2 linked regions of the Oryzias latipes genome follow. The protein of the gene in region 2 binds, or shares a complex with, the protein of the main gene of each other region. Links are inferred from orthologs where the notes say so. Each region holds a gene or a part of one and is shown on either strand. Other genes may lie near its edges.

Region 1 (5,797 bases), on a different chromosome or scaffold from region 2:
TTCCATGATTTCAATACTTAAAATGAATCATAAAATTAACTATAAAAAAATAATCACTGCAGTTTAACAAGAGGCCAAGTGGACTTCACTTCCTGCCGGAAGCCTTTCCTCTGTGTTGATTAGAAAATAATGAAGTCACAGGACTTTTTTGAAAGGATTTTAAGTATGTTTGATTAAAATTAACAGTAAATTTGAACAAATTGACAAACATCCAGAAAGTGAAGCTTTTAGTAAAACATGAGCAGAGATGCAGCAGGTTTTACATCTGATCCGTTTTCCTAACATTATTTAAGTTCACTATCAGAGGTTTTAAGGTGTTTCTGTAAAAAAGAAGATGGTAGAACCCAAATAACGTATAAATCCAGATCCATCTGAAACAGACGTAGCCTGTAAGTGTTACAACCCTCTGCTACATAGTGGAGGGAAAAGCAGAAACTCTTCTATTGATTGAAAGATTGTCTAAAAATGAGATTTTATTTTTTCTAGTACTGTTGGGAATTTTATGTAAAACCAGAGTTTTATAACGATCTATTTTCTGTACCATCAGTGAATGGAGTCTTTGATGAGGAAAAGCTTAGTCATCACAAACGGTCCTATTGTTGCAGCTTTTAATCCCCCTCCCAACACCTACAGAACAATTCTAATCTTTGTAGATAATCTGGGTTAGCTAGAACTGTATTTTTCATAATTGACACATCAGAAGAGAGAGAACTCCACCATCAACTGCAGCTCATGTGAAGGACGTGATGTGATGGATTTGAATGCCACTCTAGACGCTGCAGGAGGACCAAGAACCACAGAAAGGAAGGGATTCAACCATTTATACAGAATTCCTTTTTACAAAACTGATGTTTAGTGTAAAGCTGCAGGGGGTGGAAGTCCAACATTGATAGAAATCACGAGTCATGGTAAACGGAGAAATAAATGCTGCATTATCCAAAACTACTTGTAAAAAGTTAAATTTTTTAATAGTTTAACATAAAATGACTTGAAAATCAAACAAGAAAACAAAGACAGCCCAAAAATGGAATAAATGTCTAAAAAAAAAAAGGAAAAAAGAATTTTCTTTTGGTTGTCATTAAAGCGTAAATGATTGAAAATCTTTGTGGGATTTTTCAAAGCTGCAATTCAGTGAACATTTGAAATGTCGTTGCTCTCAAAGAGCTTTCCCTTCTTCATCCCTGAGCCTAAAACAGAGGGATTTTTGGAAATGACAGCTTCTCATCACTCATCCGTCTTCCAGACAGCGCAGCTGCTTTTTCAAAAGTCGGGTAAAGGAAATAAAACACACACACGTGTTTACAAAGCATTGTTTAATCAGAGCCTTAAAAAAGTGTCCATCCGTGGTTAAACCACCACAGGCTGAAATAAACCCGTTCATGAACGCACCACAGAGATGCGTCACACAAACCCTCCGAAGGAAAAGATCCAGGTCCACGGCTCTTCCAAAAAAACAGGAAGAGCCGCTGCTCCTCGTGAGGAGTCTGTCCCACGCAGATGGAGGGCCGCGCCTCCTCCTTTATCGTCCTCCTGCGAGGAAACAGCGACACAGCTCAGACGACACAAACAGCGCACAGTAGGACGCCTGACGGTGAACCCACCTCTGAATCCTCGGCCACCACCACCTCCTCTTCCTCTGAAGCCTCCTCCACCGCGTCCACCTCCGCCCCGCCCACCCCGGAAACCTCCTGAGACAGACCCGCAGGACCGTTACTCCTTTCTGATTCCACGACTGTCATGCAGTCATGTCATGTCATGCCTCACCTCCACGACCTCCTCCTCTTCCTCCACCTCGCCCGCCGCCCCGCCCTCCCCGGGGCGGACCCTTTTCCCCCGGAGGCCTGGGCAGAAACCTCTGCAGTGGGAGCAGCTTCATGGGGTCTATGTAAAACTGATAGAGAGGGGTGTGAGTGTCCCACAGACACAGCAGCATTCAGCCACACAGCAGGAGGAAGAGGAGGAGGAAGAGGCCTTTACCTTCTGCAGCTTCTTGAAGGAAGACGCCTTCATGTTTTCAGACAGTTTGACAGAAAAGTACTGCAGGACTCATAAGGAGCATGCTCTCATGCCGGTGTTTCAGACTCGCTCCGCTCACGCACCAAAAGGATACGAAGTCCCGCAGCTGCCCGAAGATCTCATCCACTTTCCCGATCTGCTCCTTGTTTTCCAGGTAGACCGGAGCGTTGAAGTAGGGGACTTTGTTCTCCTCGGTGGTACACTTGCAGACGATGTCATCTTCACAGGGATGGACGAACTCGCCCAGAGCTGCAGAGACAGGATTGAAGCAGGCGGTCACCTCGTGTCAGATCCTCTGAGGTGTGAAAGCGTTTGTGTTCCAGGCTGCAGCTGTGTCCCCGTTTACACGCGTGTGACCCCGTTATGCCAACCAGGAACCACGCTGAGAACGTGACCTCCTCTGATGACCTTCAGGACACAGCAGCTGCTCCTAACAGTCTGCATGGACGCCTCTACTGGCTGCTCTTACCGACCACATGCTCGGGGGGGCCATAGTCCTGTTGCCTGTTAAAGCCCCCTCGTCCACCTCCGCGTCCAAACCCTCCGCCTCTGCTAAAGCCGCCTCCTCCTCCTCGGTTGAAGCCTCCTCCCCCTCTGTTAAAGCCGCCTCCTCCTCGGTTAAAGCCGCCGCCTCCTCCTCGGTTAAAGCCCCCTCCTCGTCCGCCGCCTCGTCCGCCGCCTCTGAAAGACATCCTGGTTGGATCCTCGCCTCACACACAAACACCTGAGAGAGTGGGAGGGGCCAAATGAGAGGGTACATTTAATTACAATACTGCCCCTTTTATCTCGCCCACAACAGCCCCACATTCTTCAAGGGTGGTGTTCTACGTAAGTAAGTAAATCTTTATTTATATAGCACTTTTCTCAGAGAGCGACTCAAAAAGTGCTTCACAATGTTAAAACAATATAAAATCAGTAGTGAAACCCAATAAACAAACACAAGCATAGAAGTAAACAAACAAACAAGCAAAAGTGAACACAAATAAAAGTCAGCTAATAGCTCTCTTAACTTGAGCTTTAAAACACTCGACTGAGTCAATCTGGCGGAGAGACGGGGGGAGGTCGTTTTCTGCCTGAAAGGCGAGGTCTCCCCTAGTTTTAAAACGAGTCTTTGGAACACATAAAATATTTTTATCAGTGGAACTCAAGGAACGTGCAGGAGTGTAGGGAGTTAAAAGGTCAGAAATATAGTTCGGGGTTTGTCCGTGCAGGGCTCTAAAAACTAAAATCAAAATTTTAAAATCTATTCTAAATTTAACAGGAAGCCAATGTAGAGATGAAAGCAGAGGGGTGGCATGAGTGCGCTTTTTGGTTCCAGTTAAAAGCCATGCAGCATAGTTCTGGACCAGTTGGAGACGTTTAAGAGACTTTTTGTTAAAACAAGTAAAAAGAGAATTACAATAGTCTAAACGAGAGGAGATAAAAGCATGGATGATCAACTGAAGGTCAGATATGGTTAACATTGTCTTCAGTTTAGCCACATTCCTTAAAAACAGTTTTTGACCAAGAGCTTTGAGTGAGTCTAGAGACATAGATTTGTCAAACCAGACACCAAGATTCCTGAGACTGGCCTGGACAGAAGAGCTCAGTGAACCAAGGTGTCTTTTGATGGCGGGAATTTCCTCATCAGAAGCAAAAATGATTGTATCCGTCATAGTAGGGTTCGGGAGTAAATGGTTGTCATTTAACCAAACTCTAATGCTGGCCAAGCAGTCTAATAGATACGATAGATTTGCGTAATCATTTTTTCCAAATGAGCAATAAAGTTGAATGTCATCAGCATAAAGATGATACAAAATATTTGAAATTTTGCTGATGAGTCTCCCAAGGGGAATCATGTAGAGAGTGAATAGAATGGGTCCCAATACGGAACCTTGGGGAACGCCAAAAGACAGGATTTCTGCTTCTGAAGATAGAGAGTCAACACAGACCTTATAAGATCTACCACTGAAATAGGAGACGAACCAGCTTAGGACGGAACCAGATAAACCGTAGTCGTTATGAAGACGGTTGAGCATGATTTCATGGTTTACAGTCTCAATTGCAGATTTCAGGTCTAAAAGAACGAGAACAGTGTATTGACCAGAATCTGCCGCCATGAGCACATTGTTGGAAACTTTTAAGAGAGCCGTTTCAGTTGAGTGGTTCTTTTTAAAGCCAGATTGGAAAAGGTCACAAATGCTACTTTGTTCTAAGAATGACCTTAGTTTCTCCACTACAACCTCCCCCAAGATCTTAGCAGTAAAAGGAAGTTTTGAAATGGGACGGAAATAATTTGGATTAGAGTGGTCCAAGTTAGGTCTGCTCCTCCATCCACTCATGACCTCATCAGAAGGACTGAAAGGGCTGTATTTATCCCAGAGAACACACAAGTTCACGCATGTCTGAACGTAAAAAACATGTGATTTTACAAAATACTTTTGTTGTGAAATTATAATATCTGTGTATCAGATGATTAGGCAAAATGCAAGAATAGGTAAAAAAAAGATCTTTTCTAGGTTAAAAGGCCTTTATCTTGAAAAGTGGTTATATTATTGTCTGGTAAGTAAACTTCATTACCCACCATGCATTTGATTGATTTATTTATAATTACAACAAATAACATTTGTAGAGTTAGTTTAAAGTTTCACAGAGGCCGTGTTCATTTACAACCCAGCCTTGTCTCATCCTTTTTAAATACATCTTGTTAAATTGATATTATTCTCACCTAACTACTTCTTTGTACTTAAAATATTGAAGTCAAAAAAAGCAATTAAAACGTGTAATTTTGCTCGGCTTTATAATTTAATATAAGTTTATCTTGTGTTTGTATCCCCCCTGGCGTGTTCTCTGAACAATTCATGTACAGTTTATTGTTCTTTGCTGTATTTCACATGTGTTCTGAAATTAAAAAAAATAAAATAAAAAATAAAAAAGGAGGGAGAAACTCATATAAGCTAAAGGAAAATAAGGAAGACTTTCCAACAGATCATAGAGCTTTTTGTGGAGAAAGATCGACACACAGACTCAAAAAGTAAGACCAAACATGTTTTTCAATGTTTTTTGTTTTTTAAATAACATGGGAGTAAGTGGATAAAAATGTAAGTAAAATCATTTTTTTATGTTTTTGATCATTTTCACAGACAATATTTGATAACTGATTAAAGCACCAGAATTTGAAGTTGGAAAAATAACGGAAATAGTTACTAAGGGTCAAATGTGTGCTGAACACATCTGTACACTTTATTTGTTTACAGTACATTTGAATAATTTATACACAGGAAGAGAGTTCTATCCATCTATAAAAGAAATATTCTCTGTAGGACAAATATGTTCTTGTGTGTATTTTATGAGCTGTTAGCTACTGTTGGATGAAAGGTGAAATATTTAGTTTTATCATCGTAAATCTGACTCCAGAGGAGTTGGTGACTCACCAGCCATCAACCTCACCGCACATCACTGGAACGCAGTATACAAACAAACAACAGTAACAACAACTAACTATACAGGTAAACATTAACAACCTTTTTTAAAGTGCAAAATAGAGCAAAAAGTGAACAAGTGCCGCTTAAATTAGTAGGGCTGCTGCTTTAATTTTTCTGTCTTCATGTTGCGTGACAGGAACACCAACATGTCAAACTTAGCGAAGACCTTAACGAGGTGACGATGTTTCCAGCTGCACTGAGTACACGCTCCGATGGAGTGCTCTAGCGCAGTGTTTTTCAACACCTGTGGAAGATGGTCAAGTGTGCCGTGGGAGATTGCCCTCATTAACTGATCTAAAATCATTTCCCATCTCCAG
Region 2 (5,797 bases):
ACGCTCAAAAGCTAAAATAGGGATCGTCTAGTTTTATATAATTGTAGATAAAAAAAGAGAACATACCTGATGCCGTTGGTGCAGTCCCAGTGAGCCTGGAACCTGAGCTGAGGCTGCAGAAGTCCTTCTTCGCCATCGGGGGGCGCCGTCTGGGTGTCCCACACCGACACCCCCCCCTCCGTGTCTCCACTCAGCAGATACTTGCCCGACCTTAACCAGAGGAAAAACGCCAATGCATTTTAGAAACAGGGAGCATCAAAGGTTTGGACCCACCCCCTCTGGTCATGTGACCCTGTGTTTGAAAGAGGTGGGGGGGCATATTTAAAACAAAACATGGCTCCACTGTTGCTGTAAGTCTGTATGTAGTGGGCCCCCACTTTTCCAAAAAAAGACAGCTAAACCAGGAGAAGGTCATTTTAAAGATGACACATTGTCAATCTAAAGGCCACGCCCCCATTTTACCACCATTTTAATAACGGGATAAAAAAAGCAGACATAGTAGACCATAAATCCCACAGAGGAGTACATATATTTTTTAGATCCAACTTTAAACCCCTAAATGGACATCAAGCCCCCTAGTGGTGACACTGTGAACTGAACTGGTTCCAAGAGTGAGGAAGTGTGTAGAAGGTGAGGGCAAAAAGTGAGTGTTTTAAAAACAATCCATCAACATATTCTCACTTTTGTGACACAATCTGCAACACAAAATCTTCTAAAAGCATAAATATTCCTACAGATATTCCAAAATCTGTTAATTCAGCTGCACTTTTCTGGTGAAAATGTGCAGAAATTAACCTTTCATGGTCCAACATTTTACAGGTTTGACTGATGGCAGCTTTTATTCCAGGAACCGTTGCGCTTCTTCTTCTTCTTCAGGTCATTTTTGCAACCTGCAGGGTGAACTTACGGGTCCAGGTCAAAATAGATGCGCTGGTTTGTAGTGACGTTCCTCTTCAGAGAGAACACCACCTTCCCGGGCTCCCTCAGATCCCAGCAGAGGATCTCTGGATCCTGGTGGCACAAGGACGCAGAATCCAATCACAGCTTTAGTACGTTTGTTCTTAAGTGTTAGGGCCACACACACACAAAAAAAAGAAGCAAAATTACGAGATTTAAAGTCTTAAATTTACAGGAAAGAAAACTTGTAAAATTGAGATTTAAAGTTGTAAATTTGTAAGTAAAAAAAAAAAAATCGTAAAATTACGAGATTCAAAGACATAGATTTAAAAGAAAACACTAGTAAATTAGGAGATTTAAAGTAGTAAAATTACGAGAGAAAAAACGTGAATTTCTGAGATTTAAAGTCTTAAATTTACGGGGGGAAAAAACTCGTAAAATTATGAGATTCTAAGTCGTAAATTTGCAAATAAAATAAAAAAATCGTGAAATTACGAGATTTAAAGTCGTAGATTTAAAAGAAAACATTAACAAAATCACGAGATATAAAAGTAGTAAATTTACGAGAATTTTTTTTTTTTAGAAATTTCCGAAATTTAAGGTCTTAAATTTACGGGAAAAGAACTCATAAAATTACGAGATTCAAAGTAGTAAATTTAAGAGAAAAAACATGTTAAATTTACGAGATTCAATGTGTTAAATTTACGGAAAAAAATATATGACTTTTTTCATGTAAATTTATGAAATTAAAATTGAGCATGTTTCAATTGTATGCTCGAATTGAGCATACAGAGCAGCAGCAGAGCGGACAGACTCAACCGACACAACAGGTGAGCTGAATGTTCATTGATAACATTACAATTTTTTTTGATTTACAATTTATCAATGTTTTATTCATTGATGGGTGTCCCTGCAGGCAGATGTCCACTTCAATCCGTTCTACTTCCATAAAAACCAACACCTCTAAGTCTTTGTGACACTTCCGTCTGAGGAGGAGGAACACTTTCTGGCATTTTCAACGTTGTAATGCTAATAGAACAACACATTGGTGTTCTGATGACAGATTCATGAGGTAATGAGACAAATGCACTTCAGGGTGTGTGAATGGAAGAGAAAATAAAGTATTGGTCCTCTACACCCAAACGTGTCTCTTGAGTTCCTTATTTTACACATGAAACTCCGACACTGAACCTCGGAAAGGCGACTACACTGACAATAATCTCATTCTGAGTCGCCAAGAGGTTCAGAATATCTGTGTTTTTGAAACCTATCCAGAAATAAAACCTCACAGAACGCTCCACATATTTCATCTTCCAGCAAGGCTCCAATAAACAGGCACCTTTGAGGTTTTTTCTTGTTTAACTTTTGACTTTTTTCTTGTTAATTTACGCGTTTTAAAGTCGTAAATGTACAGCTCAGCTGAACAGGTGAGCTACAGCCAATAAGACACACACGCCTCCTCTGACTCTCCAGCTCCACAAACACCACAAAGGAAACCAGGGAGAAGCGTGAAAATGTTGACCTTGCGCCCCCCGGTGTACAGGTAGTTGCCGTCGGGGGAGAAGAGCAGGTGGGTGATGCCTCCGTGGTGCAGCGTGGGCAGCAGAGCCAGCAGGGCGCCGTCCTGACAGGAGTACAGGCCGGCGCAGCGCGAGTACGAGCCGCAGGCGTAGACCGACTGGCACGGACTGAAGGCGAAGCAGGAAATGATGCCGTTCTGGCCCCGCCTCTTCACTGCAGCGAGGACAGATCATTAAAAAATAAAATAAAACTTTTTGTCACAAATAGGCTAAAGTTATTTTTCTGCAGACGGAAAAATCTGCAGACGGACGACCAGACGTCGGCTCCGAGAAGCTTTGGTGGCCTCGTCATGAAGCTCCGGTTCCAGCAGTAGGCGCTGTTGGACGGAGAACTTTGGCTTTTCCTGCAGTTTCGCTGTTTTGATCGAATCTCTTCAATTTCTGGGTTGAAAAATGACGAACCGCCTCCTTGAATGCATTTTTTGTTCCTGCTGATTCTTCAGATCAGAGATTCTTTAAATTCAACACGTTGTGGTTTTTTTAACCACAAAAAAAAACCAGGCAGAAGCTATGGTTTCTCATGAATCTGGCATAAAACCTGCAGCAAATCCAGTTATTTCTTCAAACCTGGATCCTCTCGATTCAGCGGACGGATCTTTGCAGAATTAGCAGAATCCCGTCCAGCTTTATTTACTGTCATTAAACCTTCAGTTTCAGCCAAATTCTGCACTGAATTCTACAAAATTGTACTATTCTGCAAGTCAAATTGCTGCTCCACTTTAATGGGTTTGAATTTACCGTATCATTATTTATTTAGTTATTTTTTAATCACTTTTGTCTCAAGCCGATTTTTTCAGGGAACTTCAATGATTTTTTTTTCCTGTTCCCTACGATGAAGCGTCAGAAATCTGCACATTGGTAGAAATTTTCTGATGAAGGTCTTCATCAGGTGTTGATGGAATAAAAACAGATGTTTGCTATAAATCTCACCGCATCAAAGTCATACTTCGATCTATTGTGAAAAGGGTTCCCTGTGTTTTTTTTTTAAATTACAATTTGAACGTTTCTTGGCCTGAAACCGGCGTTGTGTTCTAGGACATAGTTTCTGCAGAGCGGCTGAAGTTCACTAGAAATTCACGCAGTCCTTATTCACGACAATTTCAATAAAGAAACGCTCAGAAATGCAGAATTTGAGCTCAGATTTCTTTACTTGAGAAAAATGCGACAAGATGGTAAAAATTAAGCCTGCACAATAAATCTAACGTTATCGCGACATCAAGATGTGCAAAACTCGGTGAAAATTGCGATAAATGCTAACCTAATGCGTTGAATGCTATAAGGTATTCAACCCCTTGTTTTCCTGTATCTCTCTCTTTATTATAGTGCCTTAACTCCTCCTCCAATGCCACAGCTGGGTCTCAAACCTGCGAGCTTCTGCACCAAAAATTCCCCATTTATTTCAATGGAGGCAGAAATCCTGGAATATCTTGAAAGGTTCAGGGATTCAGCGGTTCGCGCTCTTTCCTCACAGCAAGACACCACCCCGGTTCAAGTCCCGGCTGGGGGACCTGAACCAGAACATCAACGGGGGGCCTTTCTGTGTGGAGTTTGCATGTTCTCCCCGTGCATGGGTGGGTTTTCTCAGACATACTCGTCTACATAGGAGGCGGACATCTAACATCAAAGGGCTCCATCCGATTGGTCAAACGCATGAAGGGATTTATTTGATGCGTTAAATACTTTAAGTTGCCATGAGATTGTTTTAGCACATTTAAGGTAGCCATTTAACGCAATTTTCGCAGACTTTTGCGATGTGCGCTTCCTCCGCTGGTCGGTGAAGGCTTGGCGGCTGTTGCCATGACAACGCGTCTTCTTCTAAATGTCCGCTAACACTGACTAACTTTGCACGTGAGCACGGTACGAGCGGGATGGCGTTAGGGTCGGGCGATGTCCCCTAAATTGGCCGTTGACGATGATTGCTGTCAACCATCGGGATGGACGATGACATCGTCGGGGGGGGGGGCTGTTTTTTACATTTTTCGTTCTTGTATAACTGCTATTCGTTATTTTATTTTTTTTATTTTATTTCCCAACCAATGACTAATCTGTGATGATCCAGTTTAAACTGAAGGAAGTGACTTTAACAAAAAAAGTAACAAACAAAATAGAAAAGAAGTAGTCCGCTCCCGCACTTAACTAGTCAAGTGGACCGGCGGAGCGCGGATTTACAGCTTTGTGTTTGATGGGAAGGGAGGGGGGGGGGGTGCTCTGTTACATAGCGCTATGTGTGGGAGATTTAAGACTGCGATCCGTCCCGCAGCTCTAGGGGAACGAGCTACCGAACTCAGAACCGGGTCTAAAAGTGTGTGTCTGAGCACAGCTCGGATCGTCAGCACACACAGCGGCAGTGTGAGCTTCAAAGCAGAAATGTCGCTCAGTCCTTAGAAACCGTTCAAACAATCACGTGGATTTATGTTTCCAGTTGTGTCCCAACTAAATAAAGGCTGATGTTATTCCCACATGTTTACGTGTAGCGCCAACCAAAGCTAATGTTGTTAGCCCGTGTTAGCATACTGCTAATCCTGGCTTCTTTCCGGCTCCGTTCAGAAAAAGCATTGACCACACGGATTAAAATTCAAATGATAAGCGAACAGGTGTTTCATAATAACCATAACATTCTTAAAAGCAGGTTTAGAAGATCGTCTCGTATATTACCGAGCTGACATGTCAATGTATATAGCCGCTCAGCGCTGTTTAACATCGTTTTGTATTGAATTGTTGATGATATCGTCCATCGGCACAACCCTAGATGGCGTCTGACCGGGTGTCAAGAATGAACGTTTCGGTCCAGACGGAACCCCCCCCGACTCACCCATGGTGGGGCGCTCCTCGCAGTCTCGCCCAGGGCGTTCGGTGTGGAACACCCGCACAGTCTTCTCGAAGCCGCAGTACAGCCGCGTCCCGTCCGGACAGAAGCAGAGAGAGTGCGCCGCCGTCAGCTCGTCCAGGTGGTTGTAGGGCCGGAAAGTGGCGCGAACGTCGCCGTAGAAGGCGTCCCAGACATGGACCGGGTTGTCCCGGCTGCTGCTCGCCAGGCTGCGGGAGAGGGGGGGGGGGGGGGGGGGGGGGGGGGGAGAGAGCGGGAGGGAGGAGCTTAGACACCCGCAGACGGAAGAGGAAACAGAACAGCCGAAGATGGCGTTGGAGGCGGTTTCAGAGCGGCTGGTGTGAGCGCTCACCTGAACCCGTTTCTATGCTTCACTTTAGTGTGAAGGAATCAGAGCACCGACAGGAAGTGATGTCAGCGCTAAGCTGAATACAAAAGTAAAAGCCTATTTGACTGACACATTTCACCTCCACAAATCTCCAAACGTTTTTCC

Evidence for each region.
Region 1: wrap53 (region 2) and gar1 share a complex: the UniProt entries of both Homo sapiens proteins name them as parts of the telomerase holoenzyme complex. The link is inferred for Oryzias latipes from reciprocal best matches to the Homo sapiens genes WRAP53 and GAR1.

The regions. Positions count from the first base shown.
Region 1 is NC_019868.2:3,855,297-3,861,093, forward strand, and holds the end of gar1 (H/ACA ribonucleoprotein complex subunit 1), read right to left. Parts: intron 2,741-5,797; 5' UTR 2,709-2,740; coding exon 2,486-2,708; intron 2,266-2,485; coding exon 2,111-2,265; intron 2,038-2,110; coding exon 1,978-2,037; intron 1,892-1,977; coding exon 1,765-1,891; intron 1,689-1,764; coding exon 1,602-1,688; intron 1,531-1,601; coding exon 1,520-1,530; 3' UTR 1,297-1,519; downstream 1-1,296. UniProt on the Homo sapiens protein: Required for ribosome biogenesis and telomere maintenance. Part of the H/ACA small nucleolar ribonucleoprotein (H/ACA snoRNP) complex, which catalyzes pseudouridylation of rRNA.
Region 2 is NC_019876.2:6,279,427-6,285,223, reverse strand, and holds part of wrap53 (telomerase Cajal body protein 1), read right to left. Parts: intron 5,514-5,797; coding exon 5,290-5,513; intron 2,632-5,289; coding exon 2,420-2,631; intron 1,012-2,419; coding exon 908-1,011; intron 211-907; coding exon 67-210; intron 1-66. UniProt on the Homo sapiens protein: RNA chaperone that plays a key role in telomere maintenance and RNA localization to Cajal bodies. Specifically recognizes and binds the Cajal body box (CAB box) present in both small Cajal body RNAs (scaRNAs) and telomerase RNA template component (TERC).